Xenopus tropicalis: one gene and its partners. The protein of the gene in region 3 purifies or fractionates together with the protein of the main gene of each other region. This does not show direct contact. Links are inferred from orthologs where the notes say so. Each region holds a gene or a part of one and is shown on either strand. Other genes may lie near its edges.

Region 1 (6,676 bases), about 9.9 Mb from region 3:
TAAATTTTCTTTAGTTTTAGCCTTCTCTTTAGACTTTCCCTTCTCCTTTTCTAAAGCAGTGTCAGCCATTGCTGAAACAACATAAGCACAAAACGGCCCCGTGTCATAAGCAGAACAAAAAACAGCTTTAAGGAGAAAAAAAGCATCTATGGATGCTTACTTACTGGCAGAGTTGGAACGCTGTGCACAGGACCAGCACGGGCCAACGGCAGTACCCCTGGGAGCGGCAATGATCCGCCATGCTTGCTGGTTTAAAACGGCATTCCTTTCCCGGATATGACGTTTGCGTTCCAACGCCTGCATGCGTTCCACCGGCGCCGCTGATGACGTCATCACATCGCGCTCTCACCTGCCGAACACAGAGGAGTGCAGCAGCCGCCGGTTACAATACACAGGAGGCACAATCATTTGATAGACGACCTGGTAACAGCCCTGATTCCCACAGGGAAAGCGTAAGGGTAAGTCCACCACCACGCAGGGGGCACAAACATCTGTAAGGCGCCCTGGTCATACGCATTTCTGGAGGCCAGTCATCTGAAAGGCGCCCAGGTATATATAAAAAAAAAAAAAACATGGTGTAATCCCTTGGGTAGGAAAAAAACACTGAGGGCTAGAGGGAAGCAGAGGGACTTATAGGAGATGAGGGGGTGGAGTAATTAATTGGGGGGTGTGGTGTTTTCCTACCAGGTGGAAGTCATCTCTCTAGTAAGTGCTGCCAAGGGACGTGAGGGAAATATGGCCATAATGAATACCTTCAAATTTTGTCGAAGTGTTTATTAAGCTTTCTGAATTCTTAAAATCTGGTCTCTTTCTAGTTGTCAGGGGCCACATACAAAAAAAATCCTATTTGAGGCTACAATTTATTATAGCCAATGTCATCAGCTTGTGATCCCACAAGACTGCAATAAAATCTCAGAAGGGTTTATGTAATAATAGATTTGGTGCTGCATGTTATGCTCCCCAAAAAGGCATAGTAGTTGAGAGCTATATAATGTTATTTTCTTTTAAGGGGGGGCTTTTGCACAGCCTTGGAACACTTACTTAGAAGTTTTCACACCCATACACACCAAATTGTTGTGACTAGCGTAAATGATTATCGCAATGCGGAATTCCTTTTTAAAGGAGAAGGAAAGGCAAAGTCACTTAGGGGTGCCAAAATGTTAGGCATTTTGCATTGTGTGTCTGTGTGTGCCACACTAAGCATGGACAACAGAAAGAGGAGAAGAGAACTGTGGGAAAATATCAACAATCTCAAGGTAACAAGTCCATCTCCAGAGATCTATATTTGCCTTTGTCCACAGTGCACAACATTATCAAGAAGTTTGCAACCCATGGCATTGTAATGGATGGAAGAGAAAAATTGATGAAAGGTTGCAACGCAGGATAGTCCGGATGGTGGATAAGCAGCCCCAAACAAGTTCCAAAGAATTTCAAGCTGTACTGCAGGCTCAGGGAGCATCAGTGTCAGCGCAAACTATCCCTCTGCATTTAAATGAAATGAAACGCTAAGGCAGGAGAGCCAGGAGGACCCCACTGCTGACACAGAGACATAAAAAAGCAAGACTACAGTTTGCCAAAATGTACTTGAGTAAGCCGCAATCCTTCTGGGAAAACGTCTTGTGGACAGATGAGACCAAGATAGAGCTTTTTGGTAAAGCACATCATTCTACTGTTTACTGAAAACGGAATGAGGCCTACAAAGAAAAGAACACAGTACCTACAGTGAAATATGGTGGAGGTTCAATGATGTTTTGGGGGTGTTTTGCTGCCTCTGGCACTGGGTGCCTTGAATGTGTGCAAGGCATCATGAAATCTAAGGATTACCAAAGGATTTTGGGTCGCACTGTACAGCCCAGTGTCAGAAAGCTGGGTTTGGGTCCGAGATCTTGGGACAATGACCCCAAACATACGTCAAAAAGCACCCAGAAATGGATGGCAACAAAGCACTGGAGAGTTCTGAAGTGGCCAGCAATGAGTCCAGATATAAATCCCATTGAACATTTGTGGAGAGATCTTAAAATTGCAGTTGGGAAAAGGCGCTCTTCCAATAAGAGAGACCTGGAGCAGTTTGCAAAGAGTGGCCCAAAATTCCCGGTGAGAGGTGTAAGAAGCTTATTGATGGTTATGGGAAGCAACTGATTTCAGTTATTTTTTCCAAAGGGTGTGCAACCAAATATTAAGTTAAGGGTGCCAATAATTTAGTCCAGCCCATTTTTGCAGTTTTGTGTGACATTATGTCCAATTTGCTTTTTTTCCTCTCTTTTTTTTGTTCTGTTCCAATACACACAAAGGGAATAAACATGTGTATAGCAAAACACATGTTACTGCAATACTTTTCTGTGAGAAATACTTGATTTTCTGGAAAAATTTCTGGGGTGCCAACAATTTGGGCCATGGCTGTATATCCTGACATGAAAAGAACAAGCTTGTAGAACCAATGTCAAATGTTTTATGTTACAAATGCATAAATAAACACCTTTGAAAAAAGTTCCAGTATTTGCCACATCCCAACTGGCAGCAATTAAAATTCATATGCATATTAGCACTTTTTCATTTGGTCTCTATATGCCACATACAGGGTCAGAATGACCTATGGGACACCAGGAAAAATCCCAGTGGGCCCCACCACCCCAGTGTGCAGTTGGCCAGATTACCATTGGCCAGTATATGTGGTAGTGCGGAGATGGGCCCTGGGTGCCCCAGTCTGGCACTGTACACATACTTCGGGTTGAACTATTTAGAAGACCCCAGCCATTTATACTTAAAAATGATTTCTCCTGGGGAGATAACGTGGGAGATAAAATTGACATTTGCGTCCATATTCAAAATGTTATCCAAACTGTTACATTTTGGTAAACTGGCATAGAACTAATATTTTCTTCAAAAATAATTGTTTATATATCTAGGAGGATATTACGTGATACCCCTCAAGGTCTATTAAGCGTGTGCTTACCCTACGAACGTGAACAGAAAATGTACTTTCATTATCAGTCGCAAAAAGAGGAATTCAGTTACACTAATAAAGTAGTGGCAAATAGGAAAGATACTATTAAACGAATTCTAATTGTCTTCTGGCTGTTCTACGGAAATTCCTTTTTTGGTCCCCTCAACGCGCATACGCAGCTCTGAGGAGCGGTCTCCCCATCTCTCCCTCCCCCTCTACGGGAGCGCATGCGCCTTAAGCACCAGTCCCGCCCATGTGTCCCGCTTCCTGTCAGTCTGGCAGCGCAAGCGCAAATTGGAGTCGGTGTTATGGCGGCCGCTGTGTTGGCCGAGGGCTCGGTAGTGTCTGGTTATTCTGGGATTAATCACAACAGCCATGGAGCAGCGTCGGGGGCCGGAGTGGGCGCAGGGCCGGCTGCATGGAACCGTTCTTTGGAGAGGGCATTGGAGGAAGCGTCGGTGACCGGGGTCCTTAACCTGAGTGGCAGGAAACTGAGAGAGTTTCCGCGGAGTGCAGTCCAGCACGACCTCAGCGACACCACCCAAGCCGGTGAGGGATAAAGTATACATTTCTTTGCCTTATTGATAGTCTGGATGTCCGGCCATTGCCACTTCAGTTTTTGTTGGACTACACCTCCCAGAATCCCCTGACAACCAAAGTCTAGCCCAAAAACAGCCGGAGAGCCTCTACATCATGTAACCTGGAGAATTGCATAAAATAACGCAATACGTTTACTGTAGAAACAAACTCGAGTAGGGGATGTGTTACTGTGTGACAGGCAGCGCGGGCTGGGGGGGGGGGAGGCGATTCCAGCCATTGAGTTACATTTGTGTGTGACGGTGGGGTTGCTTGTGCCACAGGCAATGGGACCTGGTTAGAGGAGCTACAAGAGAGAGAGGGGTGAACTTGGCAGAGAGGAATATGGCAGGTAGGGAGTGCCTGGGCCCGTCTGTCTCTGTGACAGGTGTCTGGCTCTGGGGACTGGCTTGGGAATACATAACCCCACGGATAAAGGTTTGTGGTTTTATCAGTTATAATGATATAGCTCAGGAGTTATGTCGTACATAGAAAGCCATATACTGTGTAATGTTACCAGTGGGATGTGCAAAATACCTCATGAGCATGTTCTAACAAGCATGTTTCAGTAGAGAATGCAGGTCTATGTGACTCCATACATAACCATAAAGGTTTAGACGCAACGTTTTAGTAAAAAGAATGTTGAACTGTGCTATTCTGCTCAGTGTTGGCTGTCTTAATGGCAGGGGTACACGAGGAGATTAGTCGCCCTGCCACAAATCTCCCCGCAATGCCATCCCTCCTGCTAGAAAGTAAATTGCAGGTGTCGCTGCAGTGTCTCACAGTCGTAGCGACGCATATGCCATCCCACCGGCGATTTACATTCTAGTCGGAGGCATGGCATTGTGGGGCGACTAATCTCCCCGTGTACCTCTGCCCTATGGTCCCCTAAGTGGCTGGTAGTACCTATAGCTGAAATAATGCACAGAGTTTTTTCCCATGTTATTAATAGAGCTGTGACACATTTCCACAGCATTTTACAGAGATTATACTTCATTCACACCAGTCCCTGCCCCAGAGGACCTTACAATCTTAGTTCCTTGTCACATTAAAGGTGGCCATACACGCACCGATATTATCGTACGAAACCTCGTTTCGTACGATAATCGGTGCGTGTATGGCATGTCAGCGAGCCGACCGATATCGCAGGAAGCTGCTGAAATCGGTCGGCTCGCCGATCGGCCAAGTTAGAAAATTTTGATCGGGCGCCATAGAAGGCGCCTGACCAAAATTCTCCCTTCAGAGCTGAATCGGCAGAAGGAGGTAGAAATCCTATTGTTTCTACCTCCTTACCTGCCGATTCAGCCCTGAATGGTGTGTGGCGGATCTGACGATGTTTCGTGCGACCGACGGTCGTACGAAACATCGTGAGATCGCCACGTGTATGGCCAGCTTTACACATACTGTGGTCAGTTAAGACAGAAGGCAATAACCTGCCTGTATGTATGTTTTTGGTGTATGAGAGGAAAGCCATGCAGATATACAAAGGAGCTTATATATATAAGTAATTAATATAATATAATAATATATAATAAGTAATTATATATTGAAGTAATTAATATAAATCATAATAACCAGGGTGAGTAGATTCAGTACTGTGCTTTAGGACCTCTCCAATGCTTCCATCCAATGAAGCCTTATATACTACAAATGTCACACCTGAAAAAGAGTTTTAGTGTTAAAATAAAACACATTAACTTTTGCAGTATATACTGCATTTGACCGTTCGTTCCAGACTAATTCTGGCTGGTATACAAATATAAATTTCTTTTGATGTTTTTGGCTCTTTTCGGATTTGTTCAAAATGTAACTCATTGTAAATCTACATATTTTTCCCTTTTAATAATGTCGCAACTGAACTAAAGTCTGTGGACTAAACAGTCTTAAGTTTTACCTTTTCATCTCCCAATGATAGAAAAATATAAATATATAGACACAGCGATTTATGCAGAAGATTCTATCTATGTGTTTTATTGTACAGTGGCAGGGTATTCTGATGAAGGGTCCTATGTCGGAAATATTTTTGTTTGCTTGTTTAATAAAAAATTACAGGAAAATTCACAAGTTGCAATTCTTTAGGAATTGAGTGGACTGTTACAAATGTTTTGGGTTGCAGTGCACCTGCAGCACCAGTACTAGTACCATTCTTCTCACTGATTATGTAAAGGAACAGTAACATCAAAAAATTAAATTGTTTTAAAGTAATTAAAATATAATGTGCTGTTGCTTTGCAAAAAAAAAAAAATGGTGTTTTTGCTACAGAAAAGCTACTATATAAATAAGCTGCTGTGTAGCTATGGGGGCAGCCATTCAAGCTGGAAAAAAGGAGAAAAGGCACAGGTTACATAGCAGATAACTAGTAGATAAGCCCCATATAATGGGGGTTTGTCTGTTATCGGCTAAGTAACCTGTGCCTTTTCTCCTTTGAATGGCTGCCCCCATGGCTACACAGCAGCTTACTTATATAAACTATAGTAGTCTTTCTGAGGCAAACACACCAGTTGTAGCAATGCAGGGCAACAGTACATTATATTGTAATTACTTTTATACACTTTCATTTTTTGGTGTTACTGTTCCTTTAAAGAAGAATTCAGTAATCCTTAGGTTTTGGTACAGAGAATAGAAACATTTTTATGGTTATGACACAATAATGATATTGCAAGATAAACACAGGTTTGTCTTCTTAATACAGCGAAGGCAAGAGATGATTACAATATGCTTGCAACAGATAGCTACAGTAGACTGGGGTGGTGTGTCTGGACAGTCTGTGGCAACATTGTAGTCGGTTGACCTCATTAGGAGTTGGATAGAGAAAGTGAAGGATTAGGCTGTACCTTTGGGTGCCTGAGATTGACTGGCAAACAGAATGCTGTAAAATATTTCAGTCATTGGCCATTTTAAAGGAGTAGTAATGCTTTTCAGAAATCTTTTAAAATCATGTATATATATATTTATTTATTTTGTACTATTTAGAAGATATAGCCATTAGGTTCCCCAATTGCATCTACCTCAGGATCAGTGATTCTTTTGAAAATCAAATGGTTAGTGGCTTTGCTCCCTACTGTTGCAGTGGAAGCCAGCAAAAGTGCTGGTTAGCAGTGACAACATTCTTACCTTATGTGCTGGAATCTGCTGCAGAGAGCAGGAAGCATGGCC
Region 2 (6,634 bases), on a different chromosome or scaffold from region 3:
AGCAATGCTATTGGTGGTTGTGAGTTTCAAAAGTCTGTGTGTTTCCTGTGATACTCGTAAGAAGGGGTAGCTGTAGCACAAAACACATAAGACAACAGGTATGCCCATGCTTCAATAAATACATTTGATTTTAAAAGCCTGAATTGGAACCCATCCTTTCAGAGTGCCTGCCATAAGCAACATTTCTTCAGAAAATGCCATGCCCACAAAAACACACTTTTTACAAGATAGAGTGGTGGCCACTCAAGCATTCCACACTGCAGGCCCTGCCTTTAGGTGGTCATTCTTTATATAGTATGTACCCCTGCTGCAAGCACTGAAATAAGTAGCAAACCCCAGGCATGTGGACACCACTGTGTGCGCTGATATGAGTAGCAGACCCCAGACCAGTGACCCCACCCTAGGGAATGAGTTCCCAAGCACTTTGTACCTCACTCTGCTCTAATTACACACCCCTCATGCACCCCTTTTCCAGTTAGTACCCCCGATTTTCAAAGGTTCTTGTGCCGACTCTCCTTGCACTTACCTGTACTTGTGCCAGGTGCCAATTGATAATAAGAACCCTGGAATTCTAAGGTCCACACAGTAATTGCTGATACCAATTGGCTTCAAGGATTTCAGGTGCTAACGCTGTTATTAAACTATATGCAAAACTATTGCCATTAACACCCAATTTGTTGCAATGTGCAAGGTATTAGTAGCAAGCACTTTGTCACTTTGTGCACAGTGCAACTCAGCATGTGGCTGCAATGACTCTGGAATTGTAGGAAAAAAATCTTCATTGTGGGAAAAACTGCACTTTCCATACTGCGTTGTATTCATAAATGATCCGTATTATATTTGTTATTTATCTATTCAATCTTTTTTTGGTCTCTGTTTTGCTGCCTAATGGAGGGGCCGCAGCCATCTTTTCTGTGGGCCTTGTACATGATAATTGTTTTGTTTCTTCTAAATCATTACAGCGGAAACCCTGTTTTAAAGAGGTGGCAGAAAAAATGGTGTAAAATCCAGGAAAATGTAAAATCAAGGGAAATATGTTAAAGCAGAAGAAGTTGTATAGATTAAGAGCAGTGTCATGAATGCCAACTGAGTACAGAACATCTAGGAAGAATGGGTGGTCAACTATGTCAGGCTGCCGAGAGGGAGTGATTAGTGCTTGTTTGTTTGACAAAAGGAAAGTACCAGTAAAAAGTGAAAGGTTAAATAGGTAAGTGCAAGGCTGAGTGTATCAGAAATAGGGTGGAGGGGAGAAGGTATGGGGTCCACGGAATATGTTTTGGGGTTAGAGCTAGAAGTTTGCTAACTTCATATCATGTTTCAGGGGTGAGAGTTTAAAGTGGAGGTGAGTGAACTGCAAGCTAATTTGAGACTGTCATCAAATGGTATGCTCTATCTAATAAAGTAAATTTTGTCCTTAAAAAAATGAGCAAGGTCTTAGGCAGTTACAGTAATGGGCGGAGGATGCAGAGGCGGGCACAGAAGGGAGTTAAAGGAGAAGGAAAGGTATAATCAGTGGGGGGTGCCAAAATGTTAGGCACCCCAGGGTGGTTCTCCCATTAGCAGAAATCTGCACCGGCCCAGGGTACCTGTGAGTGAAAAGCCGAACTTTAACAAAAAAAGCCGTCTTTGTCACTGTACAGGTATAGGACCCGTTATCCAGAATGCTCAGGACCAAGGGTATTCCAGAAAAGGGGTCTTTCCATAATTTGGATCCCCATACCTTGTCTACTAAAAAATCAATAAAATATTAATTAAACCCAATAGGATTGTATTGAACCCAATAAGGATTATTTATATCTTAGTACAAGGTACTGTTTTATTACTACAGAGAAAAAGGAGATCAGTTTTAGAATTCTGAATTATATGAATAAAATGAAGTCTATGGGAGACGGGCTTTCTATAATTCGGAGCTTTCTGGATAACGGGATCCCATACCTATATTGTACAGCTCCGGGATCACAAAGAAAAATGAAAGGAGCATACAGCTAAACGGAGCCAGTGCAGTTTTCTGCTGACAGGGGCACTAGCTGATCAACAGAAGCAAATTCAGTGTTGGGGTTCTGCCCACACCCACTATGGCAAAAACAAAGTGCCTCTCCCAGCTCCCTGGCACAAGCATAAGTTCTAAGACCAGACAAAAACAATAGATTATTCAGCTGTGGCCAGTTTTGGGAGCTGAGGCTCTGCTGGCAGAAGGTATTGCTGGCAAACACCAGGGAAAATAGTTTTATTTTTTCCTGACATAAGTAAGAACTGCCAGCCGAACAGAAACACGAATTGTCAGTACGAACTCGCACAATGCTGTATCGAGCAAAGAGTCCCGCGTATAATTAAAAAGTTATAATTGTGGAAAACTAAATTCCTCCGTCGCTACTCGTCACTGGCCCCCCCAGTTACGTGCTGCGTCACCGCGCTTCCATACGTATAGTTGTGACGCCCCGTCTCGCGAGATGAGATTCGTGACGTTGGGATTAGCTGTCAGGCAGGAGCCGAGGAGCAGGACAGTAATGGCGCTGCGAAACGTTTAGCAGCGATACGGGACTGCAGGTTTTGTTAAGAAAATCGGGACTGTCCCGCGAAAGGCGGGACCTTTGGTCGGTATGAGTATAGTACTTATTCTGAAGGCGGTGCGACCCCCTGTAGTTGTCATTTAAGTGTTAGGCTAAGAAAATGCTCAACCCTACCTCATTTGTGATTCATTCGGAATTAAAAGGCAATAATTTTGACGATTAGGTGCTTTTGCTTAGTTCTTTAGTTATAGTACGTAACAATATATACCTATGCATGACTGAGGTCACTTCAGCATTCTTCAGTATTCTACATTGAAATCATCAGCCGCGTTGACCGCTTCAGACATACCTCTCCTTATCTCCAAGTACTGTACTTTTGTCACCACTTTTTTGGGGTTGGTTTCGATACTAATGAAAGCTGCACCGCTGCTCCAGAGTTGCAAACTTCCATATCTGGGTGAAAACGTGTTGGCCGTCAGTACAACACACTGAGAGACGCTGGCAAATCATGCTGTAGATCTTCATCATCTTACCGGTGCCTAGTGTTCTTTATGGCAACTTGGAATCCTCAACAGCCCAACTTACTCTTTTTCAGACTCTATTTTAAGGCAGGTGTACACTTTCCAAAATTGAAGAATTAATGACATTTAAAATAAGATGTAAGTTTGCTTGGTGAAGTAAAAAATAATACCATCCCAGAGGGACCCAATGAGTGGAACACAGTCTGCAGCTTCCGACAGGTGAGTTGCACATGGTTATGTTTAACAGATACTTTTTTTTTTAAAGAACATATTAAAATATATATATATATATATATATATATATATATATATATATATATATATATATATATGTGTGTTCTAAATTTGAAACATGAAATTGTTAGCATCTTTCATATATATGTATATAAAAGATGCTTAAAATTTGTTCTTTCTGTACTGTTCCCATTTCATACTAAGGAGTCTTTGCTATGGTAATTATGTCATGGTTTATTTGCCATTTTTTTCATTAATCTGTATTTCGCATGCTGAGATTTGTAACATTTAGGGTTCTGGCACACGGGGAGATTAGTCGCCCGCGAATAGGGAGATTTGTCGCGGGCGAGTTGCCATCAGTTGCCATCCCACCGGCGACAATGTAAGTCGCCGGTGGGATGGCACACGTGGCAGCGCGATTTTGGAAAATCGCCAAAAATGCCTCGCAAGGCAACTTTGCCGATTTGCCGAAATCTTGTGCCATCCCACGGGCGACTTACATTTTCGCCGGTGGGATGGCAATTCGGGGAGATTAGTCTCGGGTGACTAATCTCCCCGTGTGCCAGAACCCTTAGGGTGAAGACGCAGCTACTTGTTGTGGCTACTAAAAAGGCAACGCTGATCATTTACTGATAATTGTCTCTACGTGTGTTTTAGCAGAGGCAATACTCAGTATTGTCTATGGCAGGGTATTTTCTGGAGTTTAGTAGCCTTGAAAAACTTGCTGCTCTAGTAGCCCACTGTGTCTTCACCCCTACATTTCTAGCTTCCGTACACAGGAAATAACTAGTTATATCCTTTGGTGAAAGTGCTAGCAGTAGCGCATTGTTTAAAGGAAGGCCAATTTGGTACTGTAAACAGAACATCATGCTTTTATGTTGTCCCAAATTTTCCAAACCTTGACTATTGGGCCTCATGCATGCTTGATGATGCAAGGGAGCAAATTAGAACTTACCCATTTACAGTACAGGTACTGTACTATTACCTGGAATGCGTGGGGCCTGTGGTTTTCTGTATAAGGGGTCATTTTATAATTTAAATCGCCATGCATTGTCTCCAAAAAAAATAATTTAAACATTAAATAAACCCAATATGATTGTTTTCCACCAAAGCATTCATGCAGCAAGACTAAGTACATGGTACTGTTTTATTATTACAGAGAAATAGGACATTACTTTTAAAAATTAAAATTATTTGCTTAAAATGGCTTCTATGGGAGATGGCCATCCCTTGGAGATTTTTGCATAATTGGATTTTGGATAATGCATCCCAAACCTGTGGTCGCATTCTACACCTTAAAAAAACTTGCTAAGACCAAACACACATATGCATAGACCTGTCTGTTTCATTTCAGGGTTTTGGGCGAGTGAAAAACACATTCATAGCAAAGCATAGGGATAATTAATAAAACTGTATTATTGTTCTTTGGAATGATAATACATGCAAACCAAAATGCAGTTAACTCTTGTAGGCTTAATATTACTGTCAAAACAATTACACTTCTATAGTTCAGCTATGAAACAATCATCTTTAAACTTAAATGACCTTCAGGCTGAACCTGAAGGTTCCACTGAGCGTGGTGACAAAAATCAAAATATGGCCAACTTTTTTTCTGTGATCTTGGGTTTTTCCCCCCTCTGGGTTGAGTTCTCGTTTTGTCGTGGAAAAAAAAAGAGTTGCATGTCATCACATTGTTCAATTCATTTTCAATGAGGCTGAAAATCTTGAATGTATTAATAAATTGGAAAAATAAAATAATAAGTTTTTAAGTTTTACTTGTGATTTTGTTTGTTTTTTTTTTTTAAATGGGAACTCCACCTAAACACATCTTAACCATTTTTAAAAGTAAACATTGTGGGTTATAAAGTTCCTGCATACTGTCTGTAAACTGCGGAGAAGTTGTTACCAATTGAAATATCAATGTTTTACTCCCTCCTCCCCAAATTGTATTTATTCATACTTTTTGAAGAAACAGATTACAGTGATATATTAGGGCTTTTGTTGTTGTGTGGTGCTCTTTAACAAATTGTGGTTCTGATGCAGGAGTTCCCCTTTAAAAAACCCAGACCAAGGTTTCCGAAAATACTTGAGCCCATTTTTCTCCTTGCCTTGAAGAGATAATGACATCAGAAATTAAACTTTTTTTACAACTATATCTTTGCATGGTGTTTATAATTTAAGGATAACAGTATTTGCCAGATGCTTTTATATTACCTCTGTGATCCCCTATGTTCCTCTTTGAGGGGGATGCCATATTGGTGGAGCAGTTGTCCATTAGCACTAATTGACAGGTTGAGTAGGGACAGTCAGGTCAGCAAAACAGTCAGGTTTAGGAACTTCAAGTAACAATCATGACCTATAGGTAACTTTTAATGTAATATTTTGACGAGAAGTTTTTTTTTTTGTGTTATTTTCATATATTTTTTTTTTTCAATCAAGTAAAAACTTAAAAATTACAGAAAACCCCACATAACAAGCATTTTCAATTATAGATCTGATACCTGTACTTCATATCTTTCCCTTTCAATGACAATATATGTTCATTACTGTATTCACAGATTTAGTGGCAAATTTATCAAAATGTGAGTTTAGAGTTTTAAAACCCACCCATGGTCTATTTATTGCTGTGGGAGTATGAGGTATTTTATATAAGAAGTATTTTTATCAAATGATGAGTTCGACTTTGCCAAAACAACAAATCTTTAAATGTATGTTAAGCTTTACTTAAATAATGCAGCTCTGTTGGTCGATGTTAGTTGATGGTGTTATTTTTTTTGTATTAAGAATTCTTTAGCACAGGGAAGTAACATGACAGCATTCACTCATGAATAAAATTTGCTGCACTTTCATATACTTTTGTGTGTTTAAGGCACAATGGTTAATGTAGCAATATTGAAATGTATGCAGCACAATACTTTCCAGTAAAAGATACTGAAATATTCTTAGCAGTATAGGCTAGTGTATATTACATAATTTGGCAGTAAAGAATGTATTTTTTACCATGTTCTTTGCATTTTTTGGAAAGAATTCTTACATAGTAGCTAATAATTTATGTTTGTTACTGTTTCCTAGTGAGATTGATGTATAACAATCCAACAATCTAAATAAAAAAAAGTCACACTGGTGCATTGTTCAGTAAAGAATTTCCTTTTCTCAGAATGGTGGCAGTATAATTCAAACCTATTAAAATGTAAGGTATCTGTTGCAAAACAAGCATGTGTCACTTTTTTAGGAATGTTGGAATTGTGTTTTTGTCCAACATCTTGTATTCAGTATCCACCATAAAGCTTTCCATACCTGTACCGGCGATTCAGTTAAATCTAATCTGCCGATATACCAGATCTCCAAGTGAATGGCACATGTGAGGAG
Region 3 (5,929 bases):
AGGGCACGCCTCTTTCATGACTGATTTTTAAAAATAAAATAAAATAAAAACTATAGGGAAGCAAGTGTCTTGCTATATGACTGATATTTTGCTATGATTCTAGGCCATTTAGGTCACAGTGATTTGAGACAAGAAAGGTTAGAAAGGCAAAGAATACAAATAAATAGTTTAAAAGCAAGAAAGTGTAGGTAAACTGCATATAATTAGTAAAAGATCTTGTATCTGGGATGTTTGGGATCTGCAGTTTTCTGGATATGAGGTCTTTCCATTATGCAGATCATCAGCCTTAAAGCTACTTTAAAATACTGAAACTTTAGAAATGAAACAGATTTGTGGTAGTTCAGTTATCATTAAGTATAAAGTATTATATTTTAACTATAGAGAAAGAGCTAAGGAGTCAAGAATGAAAAATTACTTGTTGAAAAACTGGAAAATGCTATTGGCGTATTTTGAATAAAGGATTCCTGATAACAGATCCCTTACAGACATGCGAAAACTGCCCAGTACTAATTATAAGTGGATACAAATGAAAATTTGGTGGTGATGTTAGTGATTTATGACTAAACAATATATTATTTGTCTGAAGTGCCCATATACTAAATATCCTCCTGTGGCATTAATTTGAAGCTATTCCACAATTAAAGGTGGCCATGCAACAGCCCTTTGTGACTTATCAGTCAGTGTTTGGGGGGCTTCAAGCATCCTGACCACTCTGCTCTATTGGGCATGCTAGAAAATGCCATAGATTTATAACTGCATCAGCGTGTTGATGTGGTTTTCCCTCAGCAGGTCTCAGTAGGCCCCTATAATGTTGGCTTCCAGGCCAACAATCGGATAATAAAAGGAGCCAATGGAGACCCATTGAGGGAGAACACCAGTAGTTGTATAGCTAAAGAAAACAAAAAAATGAATTGTGTGGACCAGATGCATTTTGTGACACTCTATGAGAGGAAATTCATTCCAAACTGTTCATGTGGAAAATACCCAAATCTGCATATTAAACAGGAACATTATAAACAAATTGATAGAGTAAAAAGAATGTGGAATGCAGTGATGGCTTTGTGTTAAGACAGAGCAATTACAGAACATGCATTTTATTTTGCTCTGGTATCCTCTGGGAAGTGATGATTTCTTCACATGAAATGCTTTTAGTAAACTGCCATCTTCGGGGACCACTCAAGTTATGTTAGAAAACACTGATCTACACAATGTTTCACAATGCCAGGAGCTGCGCAGGGACTGTCTTCAAAATATTTACAAAGTTAGATTAACAAACCTGTTTTCTTCACTAATGAGAATGTTAGGCTAATTAAGCACAGAGGTTTTAACGGGCCACCAGTCAACATATTTCTAATTTACATTGCATATTTAGACACATTTGTTCTGGATTGTATTTTATTGCCCTCTATTACTTTAAACGATCAAATGTTTGCTCAGTTTGTTATATCACAACCTTTTAAGTACATTATTTGTATCCTTAATTAATCTGTACGGCAAAAAAAGAAAACTGCAATTAGATGAATGTTTTAGAAGATTGGCTACATAAATGCCTTACAGAGCAATATGTATACACAGCACTGACACTGCAGAACACAAAAGCCAGTATCATAACCCACAGGGGATGATGGGAGTTGTAGAGGCGGCGTATTGCTTGAATCAAGTTTTACTCTTGATCTTAGTAGGTAAACAAGGAAACGGCTGGATTTGTATTTCTGCAGTGTACACTATACAGATCATATACCTAGAGATGCAATGTCGGAAAAGACTCAAATACGGGGACTGGGGAAAGGGGGAAAGGAAACCATAGAAGCTTGAAGAAATGCATATTTTTCTAGTGCAAAATAACAAAACGCTAATATAACTAAAGGAAACCACAGAATCTGGAAACTGAAAACCTCTTAATTTAATCCCTTTGGTACTGGAAGGCATCAAAATGCATTTTATGCCCTTTTTCAGGGCTAAAGAAAGTAGGGATTAAAGCAGCATTGTGTTGCACAGGGACATCTAGACTAGTTTATGCTGTAAGGTTAATACATTCACAGCAAAATGACTAGAAGCTCTGTATAATGTGAATAAATTCATTCCACATCCAAGAGTTGAAATCTCAGAGAAAGTTCAGCAAAGTCACTTTTACAAAGTAAAGAAATGTTACTTGCTGCAGCCCTGAGCCTGAGATGTAAAGGCCACACTGTGCTGCTTTATGGCAGCTGAACTTCTACTTCACTGCAAGTGTAAATGACTTGAATCCAATCTATTTCAGCTCCCTGCAGTGGGTTACTTACGGGTAATTCCCCACCATGCTGATATCTTGCCTCTTCAGCTGGCATGCTTTCCCCTTTTGCAATGATTATTTAGTGCTTAAGTGTTTAGAGTTTTCATACCTAGCTGGCAGAAATTCACGGACTAAATTAAGAAAACAGTACACCCCGCAAGAAATAATTCAGACCTGTAACCCCAGATAAAAAGCCACCCCCCCACTATAAAATGTAATTTGTTATTTTCAAATGAATAGTAAATTTGTCATTTTACATTGTCTTTACTAAGGTGACCCATTTTGAATATCTCTGATTTACATAGTTAAAGGGGTTGTTCACCTTTGTGTTACATTTTAGTATGATGTATAGAGTGCCTTGGTCTTCATTTTTTATTATTTGTGTTTTTTTTAATTATTTCACTTTTTGTTCAGCAGCTCTCCGGTTTGGAATTACAGCAGTTATCTGGTTGCCAGGGTTCAAATTATCTTAGCAACCAGGTAGTGGGTTTGAATGAGAGACTGGTATATGAATAGGAGAGGAAAAATAAGTAATAAAAGGTAACAATAACAATAAAACTTTAGCCTCACAGAGCAATCATTTTTTGGCTGCTGGGGTCAGTGACCCCCATTTGAAATTTGGAAAGAGTCAGAAATAATTGAAAAACTATAAAAAAAAAAAAAATAAGTAATGAAGACCATTTGAAAAGTTGCTTTGAATTAGCCGTTCTATAATATACTTAAGGTGAACCGCCCCTTTAAGTTATATTAGGCAGCCTTTTTGCACTGCCCTATTTCTCCGATTTTGGCTGAGAAACAAAAGAAACATTAGCGGACAGATTTTTTTTTCTAATGGGCATATATATATTTCTCAGTAGCCCGCAATGAGAGTGATTTACCTGCGCAATGCAGAGTCTGGCCCATCCTCATTTATCAGCTCTGCCTCGCTCTGTGCAATCCTCATAGCAAGCTCCCGATCCCTTCGCTCTTGTTCAAGTATAGCCTGCTGCTGAGATTCCTCTTCCCGGTCCCGAGCCAGTTGCATCTCCACTTCAGCCTACAAACAGACCATTTTATTGCAGCCATCACATTCTGCCCTCAAACTATTTTCTTCCAATCAAATTGTTTATACCCTGGATACACATAAAGCAAATGTTTCCTAGCACAGAACTTCTATCTGTATTTACTCTTGGCTTTATGAGCAAGGTTTATAGATGCAAAAGTTATATATATATAAGCTTATACATATACCAAGGGCATTCCAGTCAAAGCATTTATCTGAATGAAAGTTTAAGCTGCTTTTTTGACACAGAACATAATTTCAAACTGACAGATCTCAAATGTACTTCTTGAACTGAAGCACAGCTACTGCAAGGGTCAAACTGAATTAATGGGAAAGCTGTTACACCCAAGTCATCCTTCTCTGTCACCTGGGAAATGGTGTAGAGGCTGCTGAAACAAATTTTGCCTGGTATCAGCCTTACAAAACCAGTTACTGTTACAGTTACTTTTATTTTAGAAAGATTATAGTTTTTTTCTGTATTAAAGTCTAGTTTTGAGTTAAAAGTTAATTAACCGGTGAAGTTGCCGATTCCTATGCTGATCCTTTTTAACAAGGAACTGTCTCCTGGGTGGCCATAACACACCTGTCTGGCTTTCCAAAATAAATGCAATTTTCAATTGTTAAATTTAATGAACAATAATAGCAATAATTTGAGTATAAGATGAGTTATCTGGAAATCCATTATCCAGAAAGCTCTGACTAGCAGGAAGGCCACAGACATTTTAAACAAATCGGAAGGTCTACCCCATTAGTAATTTAAAATTCAGTCTCAACACCAGTCCTTATTTTTACCATACAATCCCTAGTCTTTTATTCCTTAGATATCTTTGTTTGATGATTACACTTGATTGGATGTTTATTGCAAACTAACCTGAATTCGCTTTTCTTCTTCTTCCCTTTTTTTCCTCTCTTCTTCTTCTTGTTTTCTTTTTGCTTCTATCTCGGCCTTTCTGCATAAGAAGAAATAAACATGTCGCGTCAGGCTTTAGCTCCGATCAAAGAACATAAACAGAACTGCAATGCTAAAAGCACTAAGGTGCTGTATGGGGTTACTCACAGACGCCTCTCATTTTCTTCTTTCCTGCGAAGCTCCTCTTCAGCTTCACGCCTTTTCCTCTCCCTTTCCATTTCCTCCTGAATTTTGTGCAGACGTTCAGCCTCTTCTTCTTCTTTCTTTCTCTTTTGCAGAGAATTAAGGAGCTGACCAGAACTCTTGACCAGATTATCATATTCTCTTTCTATCTGCTCCCGGGTCATAATAGTGTTCTGTAAACAAAATTTAAAATATGAAAAGAATGAATGATTTACAAGATTGTGCCATTTCAGCAGGTAGACAAGGCCGTTTGTAAGCTAGCACAGTTCACACTGTTGGGGTTATGATGCGGAAATATGGACTGCGGGGTAACTTTAATAAATAATGTGGCGTTCTTTAAATGGCATCACTGATGTGATAAGTGGTAGGCTTTGCTAGTGGGCATCAGCTGCTTTTTAATGGGCAGAGAAAATAATGAGGATGGCTCGATGATTTTAAGTGGGTATAGAATAAGTTTACCATATTTTTAAAGAGCAATCTGGGGACACCTATAAAACTGTGGTAGGGCACCCATGCATACTTTATGACGCCTCTTTCTGGACTACACCCAGTCAAGGCCATGGCCGTTAAGTTCCATTTAATAAAAACAAAAATTAAATATGTTAGCATAAATATCAATGCGAAAGCAGCTCCCTGACAGCAGAATTGTGGGGAGGCTGATCCAAAAAAAGAGATATTCTTTAGCCAATTGCAGCTGGTGGGAATTCAGTACAGGAACACTTCTCACTGAGGACTAAGGTATAGAATTCATGTTGCCAAAGTGCAGTAGTTCCTGTGCTGAGATTTAGGGCACAAACGAGTTGAAACACAAACCTGCTAATAACATTTCATAGTTCTATCCAATTTAGCTATTATCTTTACAAATTATGCTTATTATTTTGGCCTCAGGCACTGCTCATTTTTAAGTAAACCCAAAAAGGCATATCTGGAAATATTTACTAACGTGCAAAGAGAACAAAAATCTGTGCAGTTTAGCATGTGTTTCTTTCACAATGTAGTGTTTTGCTCCAAAATTTCAGCACAAATGCATCTGTCACAAATCTGTGCCAACAAGTTTAAGCCTGATAATTTGGGCTGGTAACTAGATGGTAAACAACTGCACACTAGCTGCATATGTGAGAAACTGGGTGTCATGTGTGAGGACCATGGGTGTATGCTTTCCTACTTTTACATGTAATAAGTAGGACAGCACTGACATAGGTGATTGCTAGCTATACTTCTATATGTCAATGAGAGAAACAGTATAGAGTTGTTATCATTCAGATCCAGACAACTCTACTAAATACACAGAAGAGAAGAGTGAGCTGAAAGCATGGCTGGCAGTGGTCCTGGAACTGTTCAGATGCCAAGATAGCCTTAGGCATAAATGATTAAATATACCACTCAACATAAACACAAAGAGCCTAAAAATAAACCATAGGTCAGGATACTAAGAACATGCAATTTAAACTCGTAAAATTCTCATTTGTAATCACGGGATCCTGGCAACTTTAATGCAGCAAGGCCAATGTCTTACACCAAT

The links. Proteins that work in one complex are often made in the same cells at the same time.
Region 1: the proteins of myo6 (region 3) and lrch3 purify together in Homo sapiens (co-immunoprecipitation; 3 studies listed by BioGRID and IntAct, with this or other methods). This does not show direct contact. The link is inferred for Xenopus tropicalis from reciprocal best matches to the Homo sapiens genes MYO6 and LRCH3.
Region 2: the proteins of myo6 (region 3) and arhgef12 purify together in Homo sapiens (affinity purification with mass spectrometry; 4 studies listed by BioGRID and IntAct, counting the BioPlex papers as one, with this or other methods). This does not show direct contact. The link is inferred for Xenopus tropicalis from reciprocal best matches to the Homo sapiens genes MYO6 and ARHGEF12.

What each region holds. Positions count from the first base shown.
Region 1 is NC_030681.2:100,434,197-100,440,872, forward strand, and holds the start of lrch3 (DISP complex protein LRCH3), read left to right. Parts: upstream 1-3,152; 5' UTR 3,153-3,171; coding exon 3,172-3,493; intron 3,494-6,676. UniProt on the Homo sapiens protein: As part of the DISP complex, may regulate the association of septins with actin and thereby regulate the actin cytoskeleton.
Region 2 is NC_030683.2:78,917,760-78,924,393, reverse strand, and holds the start of arhgef12 (rho guanine nucleotide exchange factor 12), read left to right. Parts: upstream 1-3,110; 5' UTR 3,111-3,218; coding exon 3,219-3,250; intron 3,251-6,634. UniProt on the Homo sapiens protein: May play a role in the regulation of RhoA GTPase by guanine nucleotide-binding alpha-12 (GNA12) and alpha-13 (GNA13). Acts as guanine nucleotide exchange factor (GEF) for RhoA GTPase and may act as GTPase-activating protein (GAP) for GNA12 and GNA13.
Region 3 is NC_030681.2:90,542,879-90,548,807, forward strand, and holds part of myo6 (unconventional myosin-VI), read right to left. Parts: intron 4,581-5,929; coding exon 4,372-4,580; intron 4,265-4,371; coding exon 4,186-4,264; intron 3,309-4,185; coding exon 3,151-3,308; intron 1-3,150. UniProt on the Homo sapiens protein: Myosins are actin-based motor molecules with ATPase activity. Unconventional myosins serve in intracellular movements. Myosin 6 is a reverse-direction motor protein that moves towards the minus-end of actin filaments.